Bombyx mori: one gene and its partner. The protein of the gene in region 2 interacts with the protein of the main gene of each other region in a pairwise test. Links are inferred from orthologs where the notes say so. Each region holds a gene or a part of one and is shown on either strand. Other genes may lie near its edges.

Region 1 (15,971 bases), on a different chromosome or scaffold from region 2:
TATTATCATAAATCTAAATATATTTAAAATTATTATTGTAATACTATAGATAATAATTGGAGGTAGCGTTAACACAATAAAATAATATAATACATGATAAATTTAGAAACATTTCTTCTTCTTTTTTATTTAATAAATAGCGATTATTATGTATGATATTATTATATAAATAAAAATATAGCAAAGGAAAAATAATTAGACTACAAATAAATATTTCACCGGGTAGTTCTGGGAACATATTGCTGCAAGCGTTTAAAGTGTTAGGTTTAAAATACTGTAAAATACAAAACTTCAACAGAAAAATTCATGAAGGAGTAGTTTATGTTTATGTTGGTAACAGATTGGAAAGCAATATTTATTCGCCAAACATAAATAGTATCTAAAAGCATTTGTACGGTTTAGTCTAGTTTTTTTTTATTGTCATTAAATTACGTTATTCCCATCTGACGTCCGTAACAACGAAAACTCTGAAGTATTCGAAGACGTCAGAAATAACATAATGACAAAACTAAGTAGCGGGAATTAATATGCTGTAAGAGTAGTTATAATAACGTCATAAAATATATTTATAGTATCAGCAAATTTGAGTGACAAAAGTTGAAAATTTTTTCTGTGGATTTCTTAAGACTGGAATGCATCAGTTGATTTTCGATTGTTACATACATTATTTTTGTGTGTTACCTTAATACATCATCACTACCGAGTCTTCAGTTTCCGGGAGTTGTTCCTCAATCCGCGACCGTGTCGTGTTTATTCTTGGCGACTCTACCCCATGTAAGCGGATTAAAATGTCCCTTCGGAACGAGGTGACACTTTACAAAACTTGCATAAGACCCGTCACGACTTACGCGAGTGTGGCGTTCGCTCACGCGACCCTCACGCATCCCTCACGCATGTAGAGACTTTCCAATCCCTACAGTCCCGCTTTTGCAGATAAGCCGTCGGAGCTCCGTGGTTCGTGAGGAACGTTGACCTACACGACGATCTGAGCGTCGAATTGATCCGGAAACACATGAAGTCAGCGTCGGAACGGTACTTCGATAAGGCTATACGTCATGATAATCGCCTTATCGTTGCCACCGCTGTCTACTCCCCGAATCCTGATCATGCAGGAGCCAGTCACCGTTGACGCCCTAGAAACGTCCTTACGGATCTCTCAGAACCAATAACCTTTGCATTAGACGCCTTCAGCTCCAACACTAGGAGTAGGCATAGGGACCCCGGTAACCATACTCGTCGAACTCGACCTAGAGTTGCAACCGTGACGAATGAGACGTGCAACCTAACCCATGCATCAACTCGCTGAGTTTCTCGCTGGATCTTCTCAGCGGGTCGCGATTCTGATCCGGTAGTAAACTTATTCGCGAAGCAGTTGCTCTTGAGTTGTTAGGTCTCCTTCGGAGGCGCTTGGGCAGCTGTTAGCAAATCCCACCCCTCCTGGCCGAGCATTTGCTCACTCACCTATCCTGGTGAAACTGGAAAAGCTTCAGGCCAACCAGAAATCACTCATACAAAAAAAAAAAGAGTCGTTCAACTACGCCCTTTTAAGTTTAGAAAAGATTAGGACTTAGTACGTGCAAAATATGAGGATTTGGTTATTTCAAACGAAATAAAATAGGGTTTTTATTATAGATAGGTTTCTATATATTATTTTATTTATAAAAGTAGGTAGCTTTTTTGTTGGTATTTAAATGAACCAAAATGATATTATATTGAAATACATTTACCTATGATATAAAAAAATAAAATAAGCGAGTATCTTATGATATAAGGTTCGATTCCAAAACCACGGCAAAAGAGCCGACAATTTTTTTAAAGTTGAAAAGTATTTTTCACGCTGGAGACGATAGAATGCGATTTTAAAAAGATGTACTTATATTATATTATGTTAATGTCGACATAAGGGCCCGGACATCCGTGATTTTCATTTTAAAATGTACCTATTGGGTTCGAAGCAACGAGATAAAAATCCACGAATTCGCACAAAAAGGATTTTCTGAAAGAGTAGAACAAACCTGTTCTTGATGGCGAGAACCGCTTTTGTTATGTGCAGTAAAAGTCTATCACGTTTTTACGAAAAACTTTCAAAATTTCTGTCACTAAGTTGAAAAAGAGTTCAGTTATAAACAGCAAAATTCAAATAACAAACTTAATAAAACACTGCTAACGTAGTCAATGTTAAAATAAGAATGTAGCATTAGATATGTAAACAAAGTGATGTATGAGTGCAGAGTTGAAAAAAAATATAAAACAACTTTTGGCGCTATTTTATAGATTACACCAGGTACTTGCTACGGTGGCGCCACGTTTTTTTTCTTTCTTTTTTTACCGTGGGGCCATCCTAATTGCTCACTTTTCGACGGGCACCTTTTCATACACTAAGATTGTGTTCCTTACCTTATGTTTACCTACTACCTCCTTACCTTGTATTTTATTGATATTAAATGAATATCGATGATCTTTCCAGATCCCGATGATACATCGTATAAATGATCTCTGAAAACGCACTATGCTTGAACGCAGTGGTTACAGGTAGTAAGAAAGTTCTCTGCCCTTACGGATAGTTGTCGTGCAAAAAGAAGATGGAGAAACAGCTCAAAAAATTCTTCGGCAAGCGCCCGTAGAACATACTTTACAAAGTAATAGAGGCGTGGAGAAACTAGTCCTAAAATTCCAAACTGTTTTTGTACCTATATTCTATTATAACATTTTATTTTAACTGACTATATTTCTTATAGCTAATTTCATAGATTAAAAACTTTTTATATACGAAGTTTAGTGTTCAAATCAACAAACAAAATCATATACCTTATTGTATTTTTATTGATTTCGCAGCGCTTGATCGTGATTGGGCATCAATTAAATAGAAAAAAGATCTAAGAGCATTCTCTCTATATTTGTGAAAATGACATTTATAATAATCAAAACGAAAATATAACGCTTTGGCAATGATAATAAGATATTTTCCACTGTATGCAACGTTATCATACATAGTTTAGAGTAGAAATTATTTTGGTTTCGGGGCGTTCGTGGTTTTAAAACGATATTAACTGTGCAATAAAACAACGCGCAGTAATGTTTTTGAATTAGTAATTTAAACGATTTTTCAAATAACATAATTTTAATAACTGGCCATTTAAAAACATTTTGCCTGTCTCTTCCATTGATATAGGTTTAGTCGGTTTTATTTTTTTAATCGTTTCATGTAGAAGTCCATTTACACCAGCGGTCGGGGAACCGAGGTAAATTACCCCAAATGGGGTAAAATGAAATTTTGGGGGGTAAAAATGAAACTTTTGTGAGTAAAAAAAATATATAGAAGTTAAACTTCTTTAGAATCGTTAAATTTTCTTTTCAAAATTATCATGGGGGCTATAATATGAAATATACTAAAAACAAGCGATTTCGTTTTTTTTTGTTCTTCACCATGGGGTAATATCAACTTACAGAAAAATATTTAAGGGTAATAATTAAAAAAGTTCCCCGACCGCTGATTTACACCAACTGTGTGCTTAGAACATTGAATGCCCCAGAAACGAAAGCCCTGCGATAACATCTGTGACGATACGATAAATGATAACAGCAATCATAACGTACAGGTGTGTTCCATAAAATACGAATTTCATAACAACTACATTAAGTACCTAAACATTGTCTCTTTCACTTTACGTTTTACTGCTATTAATATTTTGTTGTATTAGGCCTATAAACTTATCGAACGGTCGTAGAATATAAATTTTTATTTACTCAATAATTTGAAGATTTTTAATTCTATATTTTTATGTAAACCATAATATGTTTGGATATATGAAACAAAAACAAAACGTGCAACATAGTACACGCAATAGAAGCGAAACTTCTTCGTCGATATACAGAGAAAGATAATTACTTGATGCTGTAAGGCTACAGACGCGCCCAAAGAAGTTTAACTTCTCGAAATAGAAAGTACCAAAGTTGAAGTTTATAAATTATAAAGTACAGCTAAATTTAAAAGTTTGAACGTACAGCTTAATGTTGTATTCAAAGAATAAAGAATTAGAGAGCCTTGAAGAGATTAATTATTTTCTAAAATTAATTTAATCAACAGCAAATAATTATTTATCTTCACTACAACTATGCTTCATAAGCATGAACAAATAATATATAATCAGCTATATTTCATATTGAAACATCTAAGGTATTTTTTTCTATTATATTTACAAAAAGACAAAACGTTCATTGTTTACAATCAGACTTGAATAAGAATCGAGAATTAAGAATAGAAAACGAATTCTAATATACAATAAGTATACAACAATCATTAATGACAAAAAAAAAACATTAAATATTAATTGATGTGTTTTGAACATTTTTCATTATGAATTCTAATCATGTTTTATAAGCTAGAAGTGGCAATCTAGCTTTTTAAACTAAACTATGCATTTGCCATGTTACAAAACAAGTTTACTAGGGCAGCTAGCGCATTACTATTCAGCTAACTATAGTAATAACGATAATCTAAAGGAACACATATTTAGATGTTTAATTTGAGGTAGTCATTTCAACAACTACATTCCAAAATATATGGCTTAGCTTTTTCGAGTACAACCTCAATTTGAATACATAATTATATTATGTTCTATAATACTTTCTATCTACGTAAAAATCGTTTCTTGCTATTTTCATTTGTGTCACTAAGTTCTCAAAGGGAAACCATATAAAGTACGTTATACTTACAAATACCCAAAACCCAATTTATTGATTTCGACAATTTTAATGTAAGAAGATTTTATTACCTTCAATATCTCCCTCTCTACTGCAAGCTAGAGCGCAACTAAACAACTAATAAATATCCGTGAATTTTACGGTTTCTCGTAATTATAATATCAAAGTATTTATTGTAAATATAGATCCAACGTTATTATTCTGGTTACGAGATCTATTAAAATACTTAAGGATTATGCGACGCGTCACAAGAGATATTGTAAGTTCGCAGTGAACATTCACGAGGCAATGCGCAGAGTAATTTACCTTGTAACATGTTTCTATTTAATTACATAAACATTTACAGTCGTATCGTTACTTGTACTATTAGATCTGTCCAATTAAAAGTGCCCGTATTTATTATTGTCTTATACTTTAAAAATTATTACTTCATTCACTGATTCGTATTGCTTACATTTTTAAAGAATTCGCTATTCAAAGCATCAACGACGAGAATAACGCTAGTAAAGATTATTAAGACATTTTAAATTAAAATTACAATGTACGTTACGTTTATAATTCCGATATCGATACTAAATTACTCATTAATTATTGGAAATATCTAAACTAAGCGATTTCAATAAAAGACGTAACTTTTCTTAGATTACGAGGCACAAAAATTATTAACCATCTGTAACATTAGCGTAAATTATGTCGTATTTAACAGCCGTATAATAAAAAATATAGTCAAAGCGACAATAATTTCAACTAAATTATTACAAAATCCTGTTTTCTTATATAACGTTTCATTATTTCTTTTTTAAATTATCTATTTTTCAATTTAATGCGTACTAATCGATTAGCCAACGTATTAGAAATCTATTCTATCATTGTAGACACGGCTTTAGTAGTTAGAGATTTTAAAACTTGAATCATAAGTATGTTTATTATTAACTACGTAAATTTTTTACTAAAAGCTGATATCCATAAAAGCGGAGATATATGTACTGTTAATCTTCTATTAGATATGAGAAAAGAGGCCATTACATTTTTTTTTAAAGTGAAATTCGAGAAATATGTGCTATTTTGTGGTCAACTTTTTTTTTAATTCTTTTTTTATCTCGTCGCATCGCCGCTTTGTTGTACATCAGCCATAAAAATTGGTCAATACAATAAGAATATTTATTCGAATGTACATATAGATTTGGTATTTAATTATTTTATGACAAGCGTCATTTAACAATATTTTTTTTGTATAGATGTCGTTTCAATAGAATCACGATTCAAAGTCTCAACAAATCAATAGACAAACTATGGATTTCGATACAAACTACAAATATATATTTTATCTAGTAACATTGTTATAAACTCTAATGTTTTTTTTTTTTTAGTAATTTGGAATCATAAGTAGTAAATTGTATCACCTAAGTATGTGAATGCTATTAAAAAACATTCAAATGAACTATGATAGAACGTTTAACTGTTTGGAAAATAAAAATTAATATGGAGATTTGATTTGATATGAAACAATAGTCAATTCATTTATTTTACAAGATTCTGTTGTTTCGATTTTCTATATTAATTAAGATTTAAGATAAGATATTTATTTAAAAAAATTGCAATTTATCAATAAATAGTGCCAGGTTTCTGGAAAATGTAGTTAATAATTATCAAAAGTACATGAACTGGGAGTAACATTTTATATTTTTAGTATTTCAACTATTGTTTTTTTTTACTAATTAATTTCTTTCAAAACTTAACGTTTAGGAATAATAATAATAATTAAATATATTATTTTAGAAACTGTACGGCGTATTATTTCTAAGGTTTTTAAAGGAATATACAATTTTTATTCGACGATTATTTATACTAATATTAAAAGTCGAACGAAATTTTTTGTATACTTTTGTGCATACGATTAAATTTAATTGAACACCGTTTCTCAAAAAAATACTTGAAATTATTTCCAATAAAAAAAAAGCCATTCTTTAAATTATCTTAGGTATTTTTAGCCTTAAACTTAAAGCAATGCTTTTTATTGTAAGCATGTCGTTTTTATTTTTTTCGTTTTTTTTTTCTTCTATTTCCCTTTGGAATTGAGATCAAGGTACACAACGTGTATATTCTAAAACTACGAAACTAAATTTGAATAATTAATCGCTATGAACACTAGCATCGTGTGCAAAAAAATTGTACTAAACATTACTTAAAAAAATTATTATCTACTTATATAAGAAAATAAGCGTTTCAATGTGTGAATGAATAAACGTGCTTCTTAATCCTTCGACTGTCAATATCATGAAGTCTTTTAATTCATTTATCTCAAAATGCCCCCATCCTCTAAGAAAACTACTTTTCTCTATTGCCTATTTGTGATTTATAATGTAACTTTTATTATTTTTCTACAGATCATACGAGCTACCGGTATCTAATAAAAATATTACTATTATTATGTTCGATGGGTGCACTTGATTTAATTTACAGTCTTTGTTTGCCAGCACAAGGAAGAAAGCTTGCACACAATCACAAAAATAATTATTGCATCCGTTAAAACAATTACCATTGTTAATTTTTTTGTTTGTTTTTTTGTTAGGTATATTAATAAATTTTCTTTTCACAGCACGATCTTTAGACATATTATTTGATGTATAATTGTCATTGTGTAACCACTGTATAAGACAACAGCGATAAAACATTGTATATAATTGATTATTGCGTGATTTTTCTTTACTGGACCCATGAAGCAGGTACCCACAGCGGTTCAGACTGAACTCTCCAAGCGGCCTTGAGTAGTTGAGACACCGCACTGGCCAGATCTTCATTCACCACCTCTTCATCGAACATGTATCCGTATAAGAAATTAATACGATTGGACGAACGTATTATATCTGTGAACTCTTCTTCCTGTAAATAAAGTTTTAGTATTTAATAAGTACTAGTGGTCCTCCGGTAGTCGAAATTCGACTATAATTAATTGAAATCATAAGTTGATACAATATTATGATTCTGTTGTCAAAGACCATTATAGACTTCTATAATCACAGATTTCGCCAAGACTTACACTTTCAAATATTAATAAAGACAAACAATATATTTTAATCTATTTTCAATTTGACCACAGACTCAGCAATAAGAAAAGTTTGACAATAAACAAATAGTATGCATGCGTGTGTGTCATATAGATGGTAGTGTGTGTAATGTTTTTTTAATTGATTTAATGTATTTGAAGTCATCGTGGTCTAAAAGATAAGACGTCCGGTGAATTCGCATTGAGCGATGCACCGGTGTTCGAATCACAGGCGGGTACCAATTTTTCTAATGAAATACGTACTTAACAAATGTTCACGATTGACTTCCACGGTGAAGGAATAATAACTATATATAACAGTTGTAACTATACTGAGATCTTAGAACTTATATCTCAAGGTGGGTGGCGCATTTACGTTGTAGATGTCTATGGACTCCAGTAACTAGGTGGGCTGTGAGCTCGTCCATCCATCTTAAGCAATAAAAAAAAATGTAATAAAAATCAAACCCGCAAAATTATAATGCGCGTAATTATTGGTGGTAGGACCTCTTGTGAGTCCGCACCGGTAGGTACCACCCACCCTGCCTATTTTTGCCGTGAAGCAGTAAGTCGTTTCGGTTTGAAGGGTGGAGCAGCCGTTGTAACTATACTGAGACCTTAGAACTCATATCTCGACGGTATTGCAGACGGGGACACGCAAAGAAATAAAGCATATTTTTGCATGATTGTATAATTAAAAAATTTAATCGATAGATCATATTAATATGTATGGTCTGCTGCAAAAAGGAAAAATGGAGCGTACAGGTGACAGTATGGTACCCGAGGTGTGAGAAGGATGAGGATGGTGTGAGAAGCCGAGGTCGCAAACCAAGAAGATGGGAGGATGAACTAAAAATTACCACTGGACCCCTTTGGATAAGAGTAGCAAGAGACAGAAAGCAGTGGAAAGAGTTGGAGGAAGCCTTGGCAGAGGCACACCGACACGAGACATTTTATAGTGGAAGTGTAGATTTTAATCTTATATTTTGTTTTCATATAATATATTGCTTTTTTCCGTTTTTTTTAGTCTACTTGAAATTGTTAGTTTAAAATGTAAAATGTTCGGAAAATAAAGGTATTATTATTATGATTTAAACTAAGTCGTCGACAATATCTTTGCTAACCATCAATTTACATACTATATGCTGTAGGGTATATTTTTCTTTATTTTTAGTTTGCAATTACATATAAATGTTTGAATTAGGACTATACATGCGTCTGTTATTAGCGTCACATACCGTGAATGCTCTGGATGATTCCTTATCGAATGTGGAACGCGCGTTTGCCGCAGTCCGCGTTTCGACCATCCTCTCCAAGGACGGAGGCTTAATGAACACGATGTAGGGACGCAGGCGCGGAGTTCGAAGCATCTTTAGGGCCTGCCAATGCGGACTCAACACACACACACGACCTGAAGAGAACAATTTCCAGAATAAGTTCACGAGGGTACTTCCTAATTAATTTATCGAAGTTATATTTGGACTTTTTGGCGGAAACGCGAGGAGTGTAATTGTGTGATTTGTTTTGTTTTGTCTATTTAGTGTTTCTTCAGGTTTAAATGTGTAATAACGGTGGTTTATTTAACTGTTTAATATCTCTGAAAGTGCACAAATGTGGGAAAATGAAACAAAGCCGCTGAACGTAGCTTCTCGGGATCCTCCAAAAAGTCCACTGAAAAAATCTCCGTAAATGACCACCATTTTACTGAGATTATATTTCATCCCATATCATCTCATCTGATTTCATTTATTCCATTTCATAATATAATTTTTCATAAAAATAAGAATATAAATTAAAATAAGACATGACTTAAAGGTCTTCATTACCAGATCAATATTTCCACCCATCTAAGCATTAAAAAAATCTATATCGATTTCCTTCATTCAATACGTAGCACGTGTTTTATTTTTATGTGTATGTGAATAAAAGTCATCATCATCTTCTTACTGGTGGTAGGACCTCATGTGAGACCGCACGGGTAGGTACCACACCCGTGCAGTCTCACATGAGGTGACGTTGTAGATGTCTATGGGCTCCAGTAACCACTTAACACCAGGTGGGCTGTGAGATCGTCCGCCCATATAAGCAATAAAAAAAAAATTCCAAAAAGTAAACGAGAAATAAGATTAGATTAAAAAAGCAGCTACATGTTACCAGATGTCAAAATTGGCTGGCTGACAAATCCTCGAACACATTAAAAAATCCAATGATAAATTTTGTATTAAACTAATGATTCATGCAGTGTACGTAATGTAAGACGATATATTTATATAAATAATCAGCTAACGAGCGGAAACTACAAGCTTGTGCGACGCAGGTGAATGACCGCTAGAAGCATTCGCTGTGCATTGCTGGTTAACTATACTTAAACATGAACATGCATAAATGCAAATTAATATTTATAAATTTAAACAAAAAATGCTTATTTCACAGCAAGTATATTATTAATTTATCAAGTTTTTTTTTACCAGTATTAATAATAGTCTCGACGCTTTCGGCAGCGGTCCCATAAAGATTGCCCTTGTATTCACCATGCTCTATGAATTTCCCATCGGTTATATCCTGTTCCATTTTTTCCCGAGTTACGAACACGTAATCTTTACCATTCTGTTCGCTTGATTTTATAGGACGCGACGTATCTGTAATGTTTAAAATTTATTTACAGATTAGCAAATCTCGTGAACAAAGATTTCTTTTATGAATTTATTAGCGCGCCTTAGTCTGGATACTGGTCCATAAACTAGCCGTACTCGCCCGCTTCGCTGGGTATTTAAAATTAACATTATTATTTATTGTCATTATTATTAGGGAGTCCAACACTCATATAAATATTAGCCTATTCATTAAGTACATGTATTTTCTACATGGAAACCAAGTTTCAAATCAATCGGATGCACTGTTCAATAGTTATAACGGAACATCCGTAAAAACCATTGTAGATTTATAGATTAAAGTATAGATTTCATTTAACTTTTTTCAGACATTTGCGTGGCCGAGTACCGAACATACAAATGCACGAAGGATATGATTTTTTTAGTTTATGATTTATGACATTTATGATAATAATATCAGTATAGATGTTTTTTTTAAAGTAAATTTGATAATAATATTGTTCGTACCACCACCCCGCCTATTTCTGTCGTGAAGCAGTAATGCGTTTCGGTTTGAAGGGTGGGAGCCATTGTAACTATACTGAGACCTTAGAACTTATGTCTCAAGGTGGGTGGCGCATTTACGCTGTAGCTGTCTATGGGCTCCAGTAACCACTTAACAACAGGTGGGCTGTGAGCTCGTCCACCCATCTTAAGCAATAAAAAATAAAAACTTACACGGTATCGGAGTGATGTACTTCTCCGGGTCCGTAGCGACGAGCCTCCGTCTCAGTTCGTTTCTGCCGACGCCGGGCGCTCCGATCAACACGATCGGGCGTACCAGACCCGGCCTCGGGTACAGCCGGGCGACCTCCTCGTACGTCGGTATCAATTCTCTATCGAAATCGTCGTTCTCCGTTATGTCGTATATGATCTTCTTGACTTTCGGAATCGACTTGCAGGGCAGGAGCGCTGTGGCCGTCGGCGTCGGTGAACATGGCGTTTTCGGGGCACAGTCAGAACTGGACGCAGACGGACTACAAAGGGCGGGCTTACCTAAAAACACCGCAACAACAGATCAAGCTTTTCTTGTAGACCGCAAAAAGTGAGGGTAGGATGAAATTTCAAAGAAATGCATACATTGAGGACTTTTTGGCGGGAACGCGAGGAGTGAAATTGTGTGATTTGTTTTATTTTGTCCCTTTAGTGTTTCTTCAGGTTTAAATGTGTAATAACGGTGGTTTATTAACTGTTTAGTATCTGGGAAAGTGCACAAATGTGGGAAAATAAAACAAAGCCGCTGGACATAACTTCTCGGGATCCTCCGAAAAGTCCACTGAAAAAGTCTCAGTAAATGACCACCATTTTACTGAGATTATATGTTATCCCATATCATCTCATCTAATTTCATTTAATTTCATCCCAGTTGATTAATGTCTTAAATTAACCATCTTCAGTTCATTTCATTTCACTTCATATTAGCATTTTCGTAAAAGTAATAATATAAATTAAAATAAGACATGACTTAAAGGTCTTAGTTACCAGGCCATAAAATCCCTTAAAAACGCATACATTAACAGCCTTCTGTCTTGTCTTTCTGTTCTACATCGCTAAACGATTTGAGGGGCCATCTGGTTAAGTGTTAAACGAGTTCATTGACAACACAATGTAAATGCCACCAAAACCAGGCAAACCGTAAAACCAGGTCGAGAAATGAGATCGAATTTTCGATTGTATTTATTTAGCGTCTGTTCCACCTATCAAATCGCAACGCACGACTGCTTAGAGTACTGTTAATTAAGCTAGAGGATGGAGATGAAAACACTAATTAATTACTTCCTAAAAAAATAAACGTAGTATTTATTTAAAAAAATTATGTCAGTAAAATGAGAAACTATATTTTACAGGTAGCTGCGCGTTAATGGAGAAAACAAAACTCCTCAGAAATGGCACATATTTTTTCTTTGATGAAAAATACCGTGTGTCCTTTTCCATACCCACGACAGCGTGTATGCATAGTTTATTTACGATCAGTTGAGTAGTTAAGACGTGAAAGCGTAACAAACAAACAGACCGATTTCGCATTAACAATATTATTATCGATGTCCAATGTCACACCATCTAGATCGTTTAGAACTACAACTAAATATCATAGCAATCGTGAAATACATAGCAAATAATAGCACAACATCGAAAACAGAAGGTCGAACGAGAAGAAACATTACGATAAAAACAGTACAAACCATCCATAGTCTGGGGATCGGTCTGTCTCTCGTGAATGATGCGACCTTCTTGCAGAGCCCTGGACGGTATAAGCCCCGCCCTCATAACTCTATCGCCTTCGCGTCTCGCTTGCCACCTAAACAATAAGCCACACCAAAATTCGTCATGTAAAACAATACGTTTATAAATAAATATTTCGCGTTATGAGAAAACAGATGTATTTCGCAATCGATTAAAGAACGCCGCCAGCGATTTCCGTTCAGATATAAGCTTACCAGTAGGCGTCGTCCTGTGAAACGATGTGGAGGATGTCACCCTTCTTAAAATCGAGTCCCGCTTCCTTACAGGGTATATAAGGATCTTCGGACGAATTGTAATCAAATAACGCTCGGACTCTGACTTTGCTTTCCCGCGTACCGCCTTTACCGAATGACGGTACTAATTTAAACGTGATCGTGCCTTCGGAGTTTTGCTGGAACACATATGTACATTATTCGATTTATTGCTTTTATTTATCTCTTATAATACTCGTTTATATAAAATTCATATTTGTTTGTCGTCTGTGTTGTTTTGTGTAATTTTATTGTTGGCTCTTCAAGGATAGTTTCTGGTATATGGCCCTCAACGTACTGTTACGAGGATTTATAAGAAAAACTTTTTAAAAAAAGAAGTTTATTTAATTCTAATAATTAAAACATTTGAAACTGACAATTGAAATTAATTGGGGCAAGTGTCACCGGGAGCGCGGTTATAATTGAACTGCGTGATCTATCGGCAACCTAACTAAGCTGCATTACGTTGTGCAACCTACATTGCATTTTTAGGTACATTAAGAATATACTAGAGGTCCCGCAGTAGTCTCAATTCGACTATAATTTATTGAAATTGTAAGTTTGTACACTATTATGATTGTATTTTCAGAGACTTAGTTTATACTAAGTCTTGGCGAAATTTGTGATTATAGAAGTATTATTACTTCTATAATCACAAATTTCGCCAAGACTACACTATAGAAAAATATTAATAAAGACAAACAATATTTAATCTATCCTCAATTTGAACACAGACGTCAAGAACAAAAGTTTGACAATAAATAAATAGTGCGTCAAATACATGGTAGTGTGTGTAATGTTTTATTTATTGATTTAATGTATTTTTTTGGCATAATTTAAAAAAATATTAACATTCTGCACTCCTTCTCTATGGGAAATTTCATACTCCTCCATCCGCGCAATTTTCGTAAAAAGGGGTACAAAGTTTTTCCTTCACGAATTAATATATAGATAACAGTACGACAAATGGCGCGTCAGTCACTTGCAAGTGTACTTGATATATTCTGCGACAGTCACAGCAGAGCGAGTTAATTAATTGTCATCATAATATATTGTTCGTCTCGCTGTTTATTGTGGCAAAATCTTCTTCAGCTATTTGAATGGGGTAAACTTAATTGGCGTTCAATTAAAAATATCGAATTGTCGATGCTAATACCAAATGAAACGGACCTTTAATTACAAAGATAAAAGTCACGTGTTAAGAGAAATATTGCTTAAACCAAATAGCCTTCACCTCTCATTATTAAGAATGTACTATTTGTTTAGAAGCATCTAATTTAAAACGTAATTTATCTTGAATCGATTTCGGTAGGTCCGTTTTTTGCGTTTGTCGCATCACTAGTTATACAATGTAGCCTACTGAGTTTCTCGCCGTAAATTTTCTTAGTGGGTCGCGTTTCCGAACCGATGGTAGATTCTGCGAAACACTGCTCTTGCGAGGGCCAGTGTTAGCAAAACTCCCGGTTTCAGCCCCGTGAGCTCACTCACACGTTAGGGCGAAGCTGAAATAGCCTCTCAAGGTTATCAGCACGGGTAGGACAAAATATATATATATATATACGATGCTTACTAATATAGACAAGACATCGGCCGGAGTTTTGTTTTCCACACTGATTCCGTTAACTTCGATGACCTCGTCGCCGGCGTGGATGAGTCCCGATCTATCAGCGGCACCTCCGTGCATCACTCGAGCGATAACTATCTTCCCGGTTTCTTCGTCAGTCTTGATTGTTGCGCCCTGAATTGTAATAGTTAAATTCAATTTCTTTCAAAATAACAATACGTTTCCTTGTTCTCCAGTTTCGTTTAATTAGAAGCTGTATATGAAAAAAATCGAAAACAGTTTTGTATATTTACCTACATAACGTTGTAGCTCACAGATAATACCCGTTGATTATATATTATGCTTAAATGCAAGTTTGAAGCTGCTTTCAGACTACGCTATAATATAATAGCATATAGTATATAGCTCATAGCACAATAATATCGTGCACCATACATTGTTATGGACACGTTCACACTGTACTGTAGCATATATTATTGACGCTGCTATACTATATGGCACTATAGTATCGCGTAGTCTGAAAGCAACTTTTCTTATTTTAATCTTAAATTAGGACTTATTTGAATTTAATACGCAATGAAAATATCCTTGTCACTGTAAGCTTCAGGTATTTTTAATTCATATTATTCACTTTAAAATTATTAATTAGCTATGCAATTTCTTTACGTAGATTTAGTCAATCTAAAGTACCTACTTACTACCTTTTACTTATTATGTTAACAGAGAGCGCCTAAAAGAATTATGATTAACGATTATATGTTATGCAGTGGTTGGCGTTGACAACAACAACGATTAATGGTTGATGGCGGAATAAACTAAATAATGTAAGACTTATTATAAGAAAATATGAGATGCATTTATTTCCCCCCAATAGATGCCTTAATTTTAATTTCCGCAATAATTCATGAATTGGGTATTTATTAACCAATTTAACTTATATTTTGCACGTTTTTTATATGTTTTTACTCTGTCATAGTAAATGGTTAAATGTAGAAGGAAAACAGTACGTAAGGTTAGGAATTTAATACTATTTCTTCTTAAGGCATGAAATAAAACCAAGTAATTATAATTATGATGATAGTACCGTATGATATACGTTTCGTATATATAATAGCAATATAATTAATTCAGTTTTGTGAAATACGAATTTTTTAGTCAAAACAGAAGATAAGTTTAAACAATTGTGGCGTGTACAAACTCGCGGCGAGAAATCGCAGTTTGATGAGAGTACCAATCTACAATATACGATACTCTCACCTGTAATAATAATTAAACATTGTCAGTTCACTGGTTTTTTTTTACTGTGTGCATTTGCAAGAATTCAATTTCGTTGTTTTCCTTCCAATAAACCCTTGAGAAGGGGCCAAAAAATATACACGTTTCTCCGATGATCTACCGTCTTCTCCGCTAGAGTTATAATGCATTTATTAAAATGAACAAAAAGCAACATGTATTGTGTGAAATGAATGAAAAAAAAAAACAAAGGAAATGTAGGTTAAAAAAAAATACAA
Region 2 (15,971 bases):
CTAAGCAATCTAGTATGAAATATCCAAATCAGAGAATCTCTGTTTTTTTTTTCTTTACCAATTATTATAATTTTTACATAATAATGGATATTAAGTGGTTACAATTTTTATTTTAACGGCAACTTTTCTAATCAACACAGGCTTAATATTAAGGACTAACATGTTTTACATATATTTTGAATATTAAGTTAATTTAATCAATACATTATTTTTAAAGGCTGTTCCAGTAAAAATAGAGCAATTGTTTTTTTTTTTTAGTTGCAATTTTATTCCCCAAGACACAAGAATTGGTCACAGTTGATCCTAGACCATATTCGCATCACGAGCAGTTGTCTGACAAGGCCGGAATCGTTTTTTTTTTTATAAGCCATTGGGAATCAAATTTAACATGACGTACATACAAATAACGACAAAAAATACTTTTTATTGGAACAGCTTAAAATCAATAAACGAATAGGCTGTTTGCTAGATATTAACATTTCGATTAAACTCTCATTATTGAAATGAAACATCCCTACGCGACGACTTCATGTATTTGTACAATAATGGAATGTGATCATCGCGACGTGGAAACTAAAATAACATTTCATAAGATAAAATCATTAAAAAAAGCAACATAAGATTTAATGATTGAGAATAACAATATCAACGAAAATTACAAATATTATGATTTCATATTAACTTCCAATAAATACACAAGAATAAAGCGTAAATAATTCTATTCATATCATCATCATCATCATCATCATACTAATAATTTTATTTTAATGTAAAATAAAATAAAACGGATGAAAAAAATGAAAACCACTTAAAATTTAAAGTGGTAACTTTAAAAAAAAAAAACACTATTTTATACAAAATAAACAGGGACCGTATTGTCTAATTTTAACATCATACTCTATACAGAGTACAGAGTTACAACATCAATGATATAATTAATCTGTGGCTGCAACTGACAGTTCGTATTTGACCTAAAGATCTTAGTTACCAGGTCATAAAATCCCTTATAAAAAAGACGTGTCAAACGGAAACGACCTGAAATACCTACGAGAACGTTCTTCAAACGTATGAAAGTAAGGAGTATTATGTAACTCAGTGTATTAAAAAATGACAATTAAGATGGCGCCACGGTAGCAAGTGGAAGGATTTTTTTTTAAATTCAGACGGTCGATGTTAAAATTAGACAACGGGGCCCAGTGTCTAGGGACACTTTATAATTAAAGTGGGGCCTTAAAGACCGAACAATTATTATCTCCTATTCAGGTTTAAGCGCAACACGGGGTACTTAGCACAAACGTACCTAACTAAATCTCATAGACAAATGGCTCCAAATACTACTACGTTCCGACTGTTCCGTTACTCAACAAAAAGATGATTAAGAAATAATTTATCTATTCCTTTCGTTCAATCTCTGACAGGTTCCAAGTTTATATGAAGTCAGACTGCTAAGATTGGATGTGGTTTATGTTGGACCAGGAACAGTCGGTGGTGATGATACATAAAAACCTTTCGGTGGTGTTTCCGGTTTAACTGAACTGGTTGGTGGTGGGCTGTGGGGGTACGGCGGGTCGCATGGGAGCGGCCATCGCCATGGGCATCATGGGGGCTCCGGGCATGCCCATCGCCATGCCGGGTTGTTGCTGGAAATGCCCATTAAACACACATAATATAAAATTATACGAATACGGTGAAACAGTCCTAATTGATTTTGTTTTATTATGAGACATTATTAAAAGTAAAAAAAAACTCATCACTTCTATGATGAATGAGCGATTTTGATTCCCAATCAATTAAATTACCTACCTTTATTAGAATTATGTACCTGATTAATCAGATGAAAATAATTTGTTTTACAGCTACATAGTCAATTCCAGGCTGTTGCGAGTTGTTAAGTCAACCAAATACTGAAGCCAGAACTTTATTCATCGATCGGTGTAAACAACAGAATCTGTCCCTTATTACGACTGCACAAAGTCGAATATCAAAACCAACGTCATAACAACAAAATCGTTCAGTAGAAATATTCAAGAAACAAAGGCAACGTGTATGGTATTAGCGTATAATATTGCAACTACAAGCTGTGAAAACTAAACCAGTGCAAGCGAAAATATTTAAACTTGGCGTCTAACTGTTACCTAAGCTCATGCCATTGACATTGTCATTGTTTGCAAGCCGCTACCACGAAGCTTCCATATATACTACCCATTTTAGAAACCAGAGTATGATCTAGTGTTTCTTGATAAATATATCGATTTTTGTTTTTACATAAATTAACTATTCCCAGGTTTCGATTAATTTTTAGAATACATTAATTAATTTATTTTACTCAGACTTGTAGTGTAGTAGATTATCGTTAATAAATTGATTATATCACAATAGTTACCTACACAAATTTTATATGAATTCGTTCTTGTTAAAATGATGTTCCATACGAAAAATAATAATTCAACTTGTCCAATAATAAAATCGAGGGGTAAAAAGGCTATAAGGTTTAAACGACATTTTTGCAACTTTACAGGAGATCCATTTAAAGTTTAAAAATTTTCAAAAAATATCCTAACATGAAACTTCTTTAGCTATTTGAAAGGGGTAAGCTTAATTGAAGTTAGAGGTCGAAAAAAGAGTCCCCTGCAAGGTAGAGGGGGAAGAGGTCGACCGAAGAAGACATGGATGGAGTGTGTGAATGACGATATGAGAGAGAGAGAGGAGTGAGTGTTGAGATGACGGTTGATAGAAGAGAATGGAATAGAAAAATTCGCTGTGCCGACTCCACCTGGTGGGATAAGGTGGAGAAAAAGAAGCTTAATTGAAGTTTAGTTAAAAACATGAAACGAATTGTTGATGCTAATATCAAATAAAACGGACCTTTAATTACAAAGATAAATGTTGCGTATTAAGCGAAATGGCGCTTTAACCCAATTGCCTTTCACCCCTCGAAATATATAATAATTTCTAATGAATTATTATTAATAGTTTAGAAGCTTCTTACTTTGACAAATTTACTAACAAACAATTCAGACAGTCTAGTGTTTTTAATAACAAATTACAAATGTTTAATTAATTATGTAAATTTGACGAAAATAAAGAAAATTCTCGTGCTCAAGATCACACCTTTGGTAGCAGACAGATTTCAAACTAACGAAATAACCATGTTTTTTTCTTTTTTAATTTTCAATAGAACATGCTAATACAGCTAAATAGAAAATGAAAAAAAAAAAAAGTTCCGCAGCACATTAACCACACTTTCGAATTCCAACGGGACATGCTGATTGACTAAATGAGGCCGTCAGTGTAAAAGTGGTCTAACCCACAATTTTTCATAATCATGCTTATAATATGTATATTGCAATTTATTGAAAACTAGCTGAGTTCCGCGATGTTACCCGGGGTTATTGTCGTACCGCGGGTGAAGTCACGGTTATTGACGGTGACGGTACGGTTACTCCTTACATCATCAGCTGCCTATCAGTGAAAGTCCCGTCAAAGTCGGTCCAGCCGTTCCAGAGATTAGCCGAAACAAACAGACAGACAAAAATTGTAAAAAATGTTATTTTGGTGTATGTACCGTATATATTCATATGCATGTAGTAAAAAGTGGTTATTTCAATATTACAAACAGACACTCCAATTTTATTTTTATGTATAGATATAATAAATTTTGATGCAAAACCGGCCTATCCATAATTTCACCCATAGACAACAAATGGCTCTGTAAACATTATTTTTTCCCGTATTGTTTTTTTGCCTACTCAAATTCAAATGAATGAAAACTTAAACCTCATTGCTTCATAATAACTATGGTAAGCTTGGGCCACTTTTGCGCTGACCGCCTCAAATATGCTGCAAGAAAAAACAAATGCAAGAGAAACAAAACAAAAAAAAAATGTTTAGCGACTCACCATAACATAATGCGGGGGGTGGTATGTGTGGGGCAAAGTGTGGGGCATGGTCGGTAAGGTCATGCCGGGGCCCTGCAATAACGCAAATAAAACAAAATGCTCGGCATGCTACGGGAGCCTTCGGTCACGTCACTAATTAGCTAACGTCACGGCCCGGGTTGTTGACCCCTGTTCCTAGATGCTCTCAAACTTTCAATGTCCCCCTTTGCGGGGCTAAAGCATGTTTACCTTTCAACTATTTACAAAGAGAATTACGTACATATGCTTATACTAATTTATTATCAAATTATTCTTTATATAAAATGACCCGTGTTCCTACATGCTCTCAAATTTTCAATGTCCCCCTTTGCGGGGCTAAAGCATGTTTACCTTTCAGCTATTTACAACGAGAATTACGTGCATATGCTTACTAATTTATTATCAAATTATGCTTTAAATTAAAATTGAGAAACAGAATTTACTTCGAAAAGAGGGTACTTGTGTTTTTCATTATTATTCGTGTAGCATTAGTCACGTGACCGTTAGAATAAAAAAATAAGAATAACAATGCAATCTTAGCTCTACACTATACTAGGGTACAATTTAACGTGACGCAAACGACCAGCACAACTAACTGTAAATGCAACAACTAAAGCGCATAGGCCAAAGGAAACGTGAATGGCGTATGGATGAACAAAATTAAGCTAAAGTAAAATTGTGATAAAGACGATAATATTATTGTTTGGAAATGAAAATCATTTGGCAAGATGGGACCGGTCGATCGTTTGTTATTCGAAGTGAAACAATGTTACAAAATTTTTTATTTGAAAAAGAAGTTTCACTTCATTCACGTGCACCAAGTTGCACGCGCACCGTTTTATTAATACGCTTTTATTAACTTCAGACGTATGTATGTAGTATGTAACGGAATCTTTCAACATGATTTTGACCCCCTTCCAAACGTCGGATTAACTCGAAATTTGCCATACTTATTAAGGAAGGATGATAATTCAAACAAATATTTTAAAAAAATAATTGAAAAAATATAAAAATTGAAACGCATCTAAAAAATTGAAAATAAATTTTAATAAATTTGCATTAAAAATAGTGTAAAAAAAGATTACATTGTAAAAGAAACGTGGGGTGCATGGTATCAGTAGTTGTAAATATTTTATGAACAAATATGAGTAGAAGGGTTATTTTGATAATATCTTGAAAAGCACCTCACGCTTTTTTACAATAAAATCATTTCTTCTTTCACTATTTTTAATTCAAATTTAGTAAAATTTATTTTTTAGTTGAATTTTCAATAAAAGCGTATTTTGTTAGTATTTTTAAACTATTATTTATCTTTAGTAGCATTTGTGTGACGCGCACAAAGATATTATATTATTTACACGGACGTGTTACAAATGTTTGATTCGACGAGTGTTGTAAGGTTTTGACACGTCACCATGTATTCGAATCATTCCGGGACACAAACACAAGTAGTCTTATAAATGACCAAGTCCATGTGCCAAAATTTACATTAAATTTACTTAGCTTAGCTTGCAGTGGGGACATTAAGGCTGTGGGTAGACAATCGACACGTTATTCGCGTAGTGTGAACCGGCTGAATACAAGGGGGCGTTCCCAGCTTCCATGTACGATCGACTTTAGGTCCCATTTGCTAAATGATATTCATTTACAAAACGAGTGCGTAAACACCTTTGGACAACTGAACAACAAGGTCGCAGCAGACATGCGGCAGTTCTCGCATTCCCTTGGCTGATGAATTAGTTCCCGCCCGGACTTCGAGCCGCCTTTACCAAGCAAGTAACCTAATGGACGCACAGAGGCAAAGCTATACGGGGGGACGCGAGGGGGACGCTGTGGGGGGCGGCTTACCATCGGCCTGTAGCCGGCGCCGGTCGTGGCCTGCATGGGCTGCGGGCTCCAGGTCTGTCCCGGCTTCGACGCGTTCTTCGGGGAGTTCCACTGCATCGGTCTGGTGGAAACACAAATTTGGGTTGGATATTTGAGATATCTACTAGCGTGCATCCGCTCAGTGCATCCGATTGACTTGAAACTTGGTATTCATGTAAAAAATACATGTACTTAATGGATAGGCTAATATTTATATGAGTGTTGGACTCCCTACACCAGTTGCGGGGGCGTTAATAATGAGAATCTTTGTGGTGGTGAGAAATAATAATGTTAATTTTCAAATGCCCAGCGAAGCGGACGGGTACAGCTAGTATATTCATATATATTTAATTTGTCACCTATGGACTAATAATGATATCAACCAAATAAATACAGTCCACTCTCATTCACCACAACGCAACAATTCTCCTGCTGAGAAGGGCTCAGCGCGTGAGCTGGATGCGACTTACTTCTGGGCCGCAGCTGTCTTGTTGATGGAGAGGTTATTAGCGAGCGACGCGAGGGACGAGTCCAGGTCTCCCGTGAGCACCTTGCCGGGCTGCGGCGCCTGGTGACCTGTATCGTTTGTTGCTTTAGAATATCTATGGTCATCAATAGCATCCAGTGCTCAGTGTTTGTTTGTTCGTGTTCTTACGGCAGCTTGTGCTGTTTGAAATGTAGCTGTTTGATAAGGTTTTTAGTTGATTTATAGTTGATCTCAAAACAATTTTCTTTTCTTCTTAACAAATCCAATTCTACATGTAATAAATTAGATATGATTCTAGATCAGTGGTTCTCAAAGTGAAAGTAGCTCAATTCTATTTATGGTTCGCAAAACTAAATTGATTGAGGCAATAAGCTAACAAAGATGCTTTTGTCGTTTAAGCTTATTCAAAAATTAATATTCGGCATTAGAGCTTCTATGATTCATGATTTATTCTCTAGCATGCGGTCAATGTCAATACGATGGGAATGAGCATTTGATGACCGCGGTTAAATCAACAAAAAAAAATATAGAAATAATGAGTTTTATGTGATTCATTATGTAAAAATAAAAAAATACGCTAAATTAACTTAAAATGATAATTATACACAACTAAAAAACGGCAACGGTGCATTAGCATTACTGCTACTATACGTAGAGGTGCAAGCATGACGGGCAACACTGAAACGAAAACGAAAAAAAAAACCGAAAACATCCGACAATCTGTAAACGTTTCGAACCGCTCATCGGCGCCATCGGCTGGCGGGCCGGCGAGCCGAACATCATCGGCATCGACATGACGTCGGCGGACTGGTGCTGCGCCGTCGGCTGCTGCGTGACGGGCTGGCACTTGGCCGGCGAGCCCAGCGACATGCGGAGCACGTCCTCTAGCTCGTCGAAGGCGGACTTGGGCGGCTGCGCGGGCTGGGGGGGCAGCGGGGGCCGCGAGGGGGACGACTCCCCCATGCCCATGAACGGGTTGGGCGCCGCGGCTTGCGGAACACATCAAACAAACGTTACGCCGGACGACACGTGCGTCATAACGCGACTACCCCTCGTGCGTGCGAGCTCCGCTCAGCTTTTTGACCACATGTGAGTGCTTTTTAACGTCTTTTATACAACAATTGTACATTTATACACGAATACCCGTCACCAAAGAAATGAGCTGATTAAGTTTATTAATATCAGAGTTTATTATTAATTACTGTAGGAGTCGCCGTGAGATTTAATGATTTTTCCAAAAAATCATATTTACATTAATTACTATTTTTTATTAAAATGTCCCCCTCATTTAGGTAGATAGTAGGTGGGCAGGCGAGGTAAACCTCACGGCGACCCGCTTCAAGACTACGTGGAGTGCAGCTCACCTGTGCTGTCAGTGTTATTGAATACGTTAGAGAAGTTAGCCTCTGAAACGAACGTGTTGTTTTGTTGTGTCGCAGGCGCGGGGGCGAAGGCCGCGAACCCGTTGGTGGGGGGCGCGGGCTGCGGCGCCGCCGCCCACATCGGGGCGGAGCCCTGCGCCGGAGCTGACGGGGCTAAAAGTGTTGCCATACAATAGCAATGCAGTACTAATTTTATACATATTGAAAGCTACATTATTGTGTTAATTTCCCGAACGTAGTAAATTGTTAATAAATCTAAATTTTACACCTGGTATTCCATAGTGTTATGTGGTATAATTAATATAATTATTCAGATTACACTTTTTGTACTGCATTGGTATTTAAAACGTGAAACAGACATCGTCCCGAGGCCACAACTGGTCCAATGTGTGTAGTTCTGTACAGTGTGCTATTATTATTATGTACACATTATTAGATCATATAGTTGTTATTAGTTTGCAAATTATACTTAATGTTACCAATTTGTTAACAATTTAGAAGTGTATTTAAAAGTTGATATGTTTATTAAAAAAATTTCAATGTTATTCCAATAAAATGTATTTTTAAAAATGTTCCCACTAATTTCATTTAAAACTACATTTATTTGAAGTAATAAGTAAAAATTTTTTTTTCAGCCATTGTATTATCCAAACGTGACATTGAAAGATTTTCCACCGTATAGACTTTTATTGCAAAACTTTTTTTTTATCCAACTAAATGAATTTGTTTTATTTCTAATATACCTTTTAACTATAAACAAAATATACATACATACGTGACCATCACCAACTAACCGTCATCACGTGTAACGACTAATGTAGAGACTCACCCCCGAACATGTCGGCGAAGGGGTTGCCGAGGGAGAGCAGGTCGTCGGAGGCCTTGGCTGGCGGGGCGGCGGCGCCGGCGGGGGGCGCGGGCCCGAACAGGTCCACGATGGCGTGCTGGCCGCCGGGCGGAGCCCCCGCGCCTAGGAACGGGTTGTTGGCCGCGTTCGTCGGCGACTGTACCTTGTTCTGCAATCAACAGTAAACTAACCTGTAGTTTCTATACCTGCGCGCTTAATGCGAGTTTTTTAACGTTCTCGATAGCGTAAACGTTAACCACAATTTGTATGGGGTTGCAAAGTTTGCCGCTAAGGGCGCTGTTCCAATTGCATACAAATTCGAGTTAACTTTTACGTTATCGAGAACGTTTAAAAACTCGCAACACTGTTGAATGTTGGATGATTTGCGATCGCGTTATGTTATGTGTGGTTGTTCGGAGGGTGGTGAGACGTGCACGACACTCGTTTCAAACAAGAAGGGAATGCGATGCGAAGCGAAGCTTGGCGATATAAAGTACAGTTGACAAAAAAAACTGTTACTTAAAGCTTTGAAATAATGTTCATTAAAGTTCTGACGTTCAAAACATACACTACACAGCTTTTGCAGCCACGGACTGCTTTAGATACTGCAATACTAAATCTGTTTTACTGACCCCAATTAAACTTCAATAATGTTATCATGTTTCCTCGCATACACAAAAATATGTTAGTTGTCAATACCCTTCTTATTTGATGATATCAAAACATAAATTATATTACACCACAATTGAAATACGCCCAATCTTTATAACAATCCCTCAATATGATAAATATAATTTATAGGACATTGAACAAGTTTAGTGTACACACAGCATACAAAGCCGCTTCCCACATATTCATACATAAATATTCCCTAAGCGACATGGAGTACGAACAATTGAGTATGTAATATAAGCAGAAACACAAAATTTATGTTTAATCACCTAGAATGTAGGTAATAATATATATTTTTTATTCTTTATTGGAGCCATACACTTATTAGGTAAGGTAATAATAGTAAAAGATAGAAAAAATTGTTGAACTTCTTTTTATTTGAAATCATTTGTAGATATATTTTCCCAATAACTTCTTATATGAATTAACACACCCGATAAATGTTACAAATGATCACAACACGGAACTAAATGCCATTTATTTTTTATTTAAACTATTTTTAAAATGGCTCAAAGCTCACGCGACTTCATTTGCATGTGACGTCATTTGGGGTCAAAACGTATGATGCGCTAGCCATAGATTATACGCTATCGTGATTTTAAATATAATCAATCAATAACATTTTTCAAAAGCAGTGGTTTGATGTAAGGTTTTCAATTATTATTGATTAAGGTAGTTTTTTTACCAGCTTTTTATTTACATTACCTAGATTTGTAATAATTTATGTATCAGAATCACTCAAGGTAAGTTTCACGGACTTCAAGACCATATAATTTTAATTTTTATCCACGCATCAAGGATCATTGATAATAGAATTATTTTAGTCCAATATCGTGGCCATACGGATAAAATATAAGTATCAATCATCTTTACTACCTAGTACGACAATTGTTATTAAAATGTGTTTATTTATTTATTTAAGACTGTCAGATATGACTTAAACGTATGCTCTGCTTACATTACACATCTCCACAACCGAGCCCACAAACCCATTCTCTATTGTGGTCTTACGATTATTTCCGTCAAGTCTTCGTTTCCGGTCAGCTCGTCTCCTTGCAACAAGTGCACCTGGAACGCAGTGACGTTAGTTGGTTGCGGCGGGGGGTGGGGCGGGGCGTTGGGGAGGGCGGGGGCTGACCTTGTACTGGTTCATGGCGGCCTCCTCCTCGGCGAGGGCCTGCTGTCGCAGCGAGTCGTCGATGAGCAGCGCGGCGGCGGCGGGCGGGTAGTCGAGGCGCGTGGAGGCGGCCGCGTTGCCGAACGAGGACGACGTGGACGACAGGGCTCCCATGACGCTGGCCACGTTCTTCTGGGCACTGCGGATTTACAATCAACGATCTTATAGACTTTAGTCTTACTAGTAGTCCCTTAGTAGTCGAAATTCCACTACAATTAATTGAAATTATAAGTTTGTACACTATTATGATTCTATCATCAAACGACATGAGAATCCTCTTGTCGTGGCCGCTGGAAACTGCATACCCGATTCTGTATACCGAATGGTAAACAATCGACGTCGCCCAAAACACGTCATTACGGATCCTCCGAGAAACTCAGTGGGCTGTGTCTGTGTGTTAATTTACTCGGGTAACTGTTCTATAATATCGAAAAATTTGGCCACAAGTGACGTCACACATTGCAGTAAAATTTCTTGTGTGCACAGCAGAACTGATATCGCCGGTTCGTGCATGCTTATTTTGTGTTAAATAGTAGTGAATTGTGTCGGGAGTGGTTAGTGCAGACCTGGCTGTTTGAGTGGGAGTGTTGGCGGCGGAGCCCTTCTTGCCCTCGAGCGTGGCGAGGTGGCCCTCCAGCGCGTCCAGAAGGCTACTGGGCGCCTTGGTGAGGTCAGGGATGTCGCCCTTGTCGATGCCCACGTTCTCCGCTACCTGTGCCATAACCATGTTTCACTTATTACACTGACGATATTCTATGTATATATTCTACTAGCAGTACTCGGCTGCTTCGCTGGGCATTTCAAATTAACATCATTATTTATTGTCATTATTATTAGGCAGTCCAACAGTCATATAAATATTAGCCTATCCATTAAGTACATGTATTTTCTACATGGATACCAAGTTTCAAGTCAATCGGATGCACGGTTCAATAGTTATAACGGAACATCCGTAAAAACCACAGTAGATTTATATATTAGTATAGAGTATAGATATAGAAGTATAGATATCTAATCTATCTATATTCTATCTAAAATAAGCTCATGAGAACTTTTTTACGGAAACGCGAGGAGTGAAGTTATGTGATTTAGTTTATTTTGTCAATTTAGTGTTTCTTGAGGTTTAAATGTGTAATAACGGTGGTTTATTAACTGTTTTGTATCTGTGAACTACAGAAAACAGGTTACAGAAACAAATCATATTTAAAATCGATTCTCAACAAGTAAAAAATTGTATCTTGCCTTCAAGAACTCCCCAACTCTATCCATTCGGATCAGGAACTTTTTATAGAGATCGAGAGCTTCGCGACAATTCTTCTTGTTCATGTCGAAGTACTTCTCTAGTAGGTTTATGATGCCGTCATTGTAGCACGCGAATAACCTGAAAATGAAAAAAAAGATATACCTATACTATTAAAAAATCTTCACCGAAAATAGTGTTGGATTTATTTGACCGTTAAACAAAAAGACGATTTTTTTTATGGGTGGACGAGCTCACAGCCCACCTGGTGTTAAGTGATTACTGGATCCCATAGACATCTACATCGCAAACGCGCCACACACCTTGAGATATAAGTCTAAGGTCTCAGTATAGTTACAACGACTCATCTAATCAGCACATATAACTCTCGCCAGTGAGAAAATTGAATAGTGCATCAACGAGCTACTAGGAGTGAATCCTGAAACTTAACCTTTTCTCAGTCCCAAACATATTTAAATTCAAAGCATACCTAATGAGATCTCTGAAGAGCAGCATGAAGCACATATTGATGACTCCATTGGTGAGATCGTTGGCGGTGCAGTCGAACTCTAGAAGTGCGTCCAACTGAGCCTGGAGGACCGGCAGGGTCTTTAGGAGTTTCTCCGCGTTCATCATGCGGAGCGAGCCTTCCTCCTTGCTGAAAAAAGAAGAGAGGTTTATTATTGGTGGTAGGGACCTCTTGTGAGTTTGCGCGGGTAGGTACCACCACCACCACCCCGCCTATTTCTGCCGTGAAGCAGTAATGCGTTTCGGTTTGAAGGGCGGGGCAACCGTTGTAACTATACGGAAACCTTAGAACTCATATCTCAAGGTGGGTGGCAGCATTCACGTTGTAGATGTCTATGGGCTCCGGTAGCCACGTAACATCAGGTGGGCCGTGAGCTCGTCCACCAACCTAAGCAATAAAAAAAATGAAAAAAAAGAGAGTATATCGAAATTAAGCAAAGTACCCGGAAATTTCTCGAGTAAATAGGAGCAAACCAATTATGACTACGTATGTACCCCTGTATAATCTCTCGTCTGTTTTATATAAACTTAAAATATTTGTTCATAGAAAAAAATAGACCGTCATCAGTCAAAGCCATTAATTACAAAGCCTTTTTTTCATATGAGAACTTTTCTGTATTAAGTTTTTTCGACTAAAAATCAACTCTTACTTTATCACTTAGATCGAACAAAGTTTATAATATTCAGCTGTCGCCAACTTTTTTTTCGGAGATCGTTGATGTCCATGGACAACGCTGTCGCCAACTTTTTTTTCGGAGATCGTTGATGTCCATGGACAACGCATAAATCTCAGATTAATGATCTGCCTTCAATATTATCCAAAACTAATTCCCTCCGCCCAAGTCCATCGAATGCCATGTTAATTAAAATTAACAACTTCAATCCCACTTACCCCCTTTTGACCTTGCAGAAGTCAAAGGCGACAGTCCTGTATGAAAGCGCCTTCTCATTGAGGTATTTAGCGTAGCGCCGGATGAACGGAGACATGTCATATCCTGGACATGTAATCATAAAAAGGAATAATAAACAAACATTTTTTAAATATAGTCTCTCGTTTACGAATCATTCTATTTTGGGAGCTTCTAAAGCGAATAACAGCGTGGTTTTTCCGTATTGTTGGGTTTGGAAAAAAAAACCCGCCCCGGGTACACGATACTCGCATTGTAATAACGATAAGTTTATTAAAGGGAAAAAAATTGAACTATTTGATGAGGGTGATACGCGTTTTGTGGTTGATAAAAAGTTGCGAGTGATTGACACTAGATTGATGACGTCATCTTCAGGTATGTCATCGAAGTTTCTGGTTACATGGGATATTGGTATTGCGTTGGGACTGGAACTCAATACGATCGAAAGACAATAAAAGTGTCTAGCATTTTTATATTCAGCCAGTCAGTTTCTTTTAAATTATAATTTACTAGATATTTAACGTGGCTTCATTAGGTAGTGATATTGGAAAAAATATAATTATTTTATAGTTATTTTTCTGGACGAAAGAAACTATATTCGCTTCTTTACAGCATGTACGTGAAATTTCATGATGATCGATTGAGTAATTAAGATGTTAAAACATAACTAAACTCATTTTCATATTTACAATAAAAGTATAGATTATATTTTCTATCCGACATAAAGCCTTCGTCAAACAGAACGCGTACTTAGCGTGCGTCAGAGCGCTAAACTAACGCCGCGCTATGACGCCGAGATTTGTTGTACCACTATGGTAACATACCGTCAAACAGAGCGCCAGCGCTACGAGCGCTATAGCGCTGGCGCTCTGTTTGACGGTATGTTACAGTAGTAGTACAACACATCTCGGCGTCATGGCGTAGCGCTCTGACGCGCGCTAATTACGCGTTCTGTTTGACGAAGCCTTAAGTACTGTCGTTATTAAAATGCGAATGTACCACAGTTTTTAATGTAGTGTAATAAACCTTATTATGTTTGTTTTAGGGACCATACATTATCGACTCGAATTCGACTGTCACATTTAAAATTTTAATATTCTAGTTAAAGCGAAAACTTCTAAAAAAACAAATAAGTACTAGAAGCAGTTGTGTACATAGGCTCTGTGCAGTGCGTGTGAAACTACTGAAATATACTAATTACACAGTCAGTGATTTTGATCTATTAACAAACAAAAAAATGAGGTCAACATACTTTATATCTAATTTGTTTATTCTAATTTGATCATTCATTACTGAATTTCGTAATTCTTCTATGCATATCTCTCTGTGTATGGTATTTCCAAAGTACAGTGCTAAAGACTGATATCAATAGTGGAACAAATATATAAAACTTAAGTAGTTTTTTTGAAACGATAGAATTTTTTTCTTGTCTTAAAAATCGGGTCTACTCTATTTTTCGCATTATCAAGTTCGCTATGGCAGCCGCTAACATTAATCAAACGACTAAGGTTTAAAGTCAAATAATTGGACAACGATCCAACACCACTGCTCATTGACGACAGTGTAAAATCGACAATGCTTCAATTACAATTTCTTAGGCCAACAAATTGACGAGCGCTTAATGCACTTTAATGACTTCATCATAAAGTCCAAAATCTCAAAAGCCTTAAATTAGATTCAGGGTGCAATTTTGAGACGTCAATATTGATCTACACAAAACAAGGTAATTTTAATGGCGTTTCGTCAATAATGTCTTATTACACACCTGTATGTCATTTTTTTTTATTTTTTTATTGCCGTATAGGCATACGGCCCACCTGATGGTGAGTGGTTACCGTCGCTCATGGACGTCAGCAATGCCAGGGGCAGTGCCAAGCCGCTGCCTAATAATACCTATTCGTTTTAATGTTATTTCTACGTAAGCGCACCCCCAAAACAATAATAAGACCATAAAAAGCTAATCTATACACGATTTTTCTATACATGTATAAACAACAATAGGGATGCCTCTCTTGGTTTGTAAAAACAGCATAAAATCCATTTACCATACATTTTAAGGACAAAAAAAGTAACCTTGCGCTATGAATAACTAAGACTATAAATTATAATACACTTTTTTAATCTTATAAATAATTACTAAATCAATTTGACCACTATTGAATTCAGTCAAACAAAAAACGCAATACGCGTGAAATAATATAAACTTTATAAAAATAACAGATACAAAAACCCGTCTGTGTATTCTCGAATCTACGTGAATTTAATACAGACAATAAACTGTATCGAACCAAAATCATCGGTATCGTTTTTTCTTGTTACACCATGTCCGATAACAGATATGGCTAGCACATACATTCCTACAAAACAAACATAAAATTGAAGAAAACAAAAAAAAAGTATTTTTGTTTGTTTTTTTTCTTATTTTACGTAACTTTAACACGGTAAATATGAATGTCGATTTATCTTATCTCATACTATAGCACATTACGACGACGTGGAAAAGTTATGAGCTAAAAGAATAAGATTCAAAGGACAATTTGCGAAATGTGCGAAATGAAAAAAGTCGCAGAGGAACAATAAACTTCATACTTTAATAATACGGAACGTTTGAGAACATGAGGAACGTCTCCTTCCTCGCTTCCTCACTGCTGAGGGTCATGACCATAATGTTTAAACAGGATTTTATTTTTTATTATGTATTTCCAGCGTTTTCGATCATTGACATAAAGGAATATCTGTTAACTACATTTGTACAAAATTAATTTATTTCAAAACATCAATTAAAATGTCCTTTAAAACTTATTTAAAGTAAGAATTTTCAAATAATAAACTCCGGAAACACATCAGGGAACGCATTTATGCCCTCCATAGAGACTGCATGCTAGTTCTTCATGGCAACGTCACATAAGCAAAATAACATTTAGAAAAAGCGTGTTCTTACACAACT

What was found.
Region 1: the proteins of phosphatidylinositol-binding clathrin assembly protein LAP (region 2) and MAGUK p55 subfamily member 7 interact in a two-hybrid assay, tested with the Caenorhabditis elegans proteins (2 studies listed by BioGRID). The link is inferred for Bombyx mori from reciprocal best matches to the Caenorhabditis elegans genes unc-11 and magu-1.

Annotation. Positions count from the first base shown.
Region 1 is NC_085107.1:10,941,802-10,957,772, reverse strand, and holds part of MAGUK p55 subfamily member 7, read right to left. Parts: intron 14,635-15,971; coding exon 14,467-14,634; intron 13,037-14,466; coding exon 12,840-13,036; intron 12,701-12,839; coding exon 12,585-12,700; intron 11,398-12,584; coding exon 11,080-11,397; intron 10,390-11,079; coding exon 10,219-10,389; intron 9,162-10,218; coding exon 8,989-9,161; intron 7,588-8,988; coding exon 7,411-7,587; 3' UTR 1-7,410.
Region 2 is NC_085113.1:1,609,702-1,625,672, reverse strand, and holds part of phosphatidylinositol-binding clathrin assembly protein LAP, read right to left. Parts: intron 15,382-15,971; coding exon 15,313-15,381; intron 13,112-15,312; coding exon 13,009-13,111; intron 12,247-13,008; coding exon 12,079-12,246; intron 11,730-12,078; coding exon 11,591-11,729; intron 11,061-11,590; coding exon 10,915-11,060; intron 10,488-10,914; coding exon 10,310-10,487; intron 10,240-10,309; coding exon 10,183-10,239; intron 8,669-10,182; coding exon 8,482-8,668; intron 7,806-8,481; coding exon 7,635-7,805; intron 7,260-7,634; coding exon 7,008-7,259; intron 6,360-7,007; coding exon 6,254-6,359; intron 5,866-6,253; coding exon 5,766-5,865; intron 3,972-5,765; coding exon 3,900-3,971; intron 1,641-3,899; coding exon 1,527-1,640; 3' UTR 1-1,526.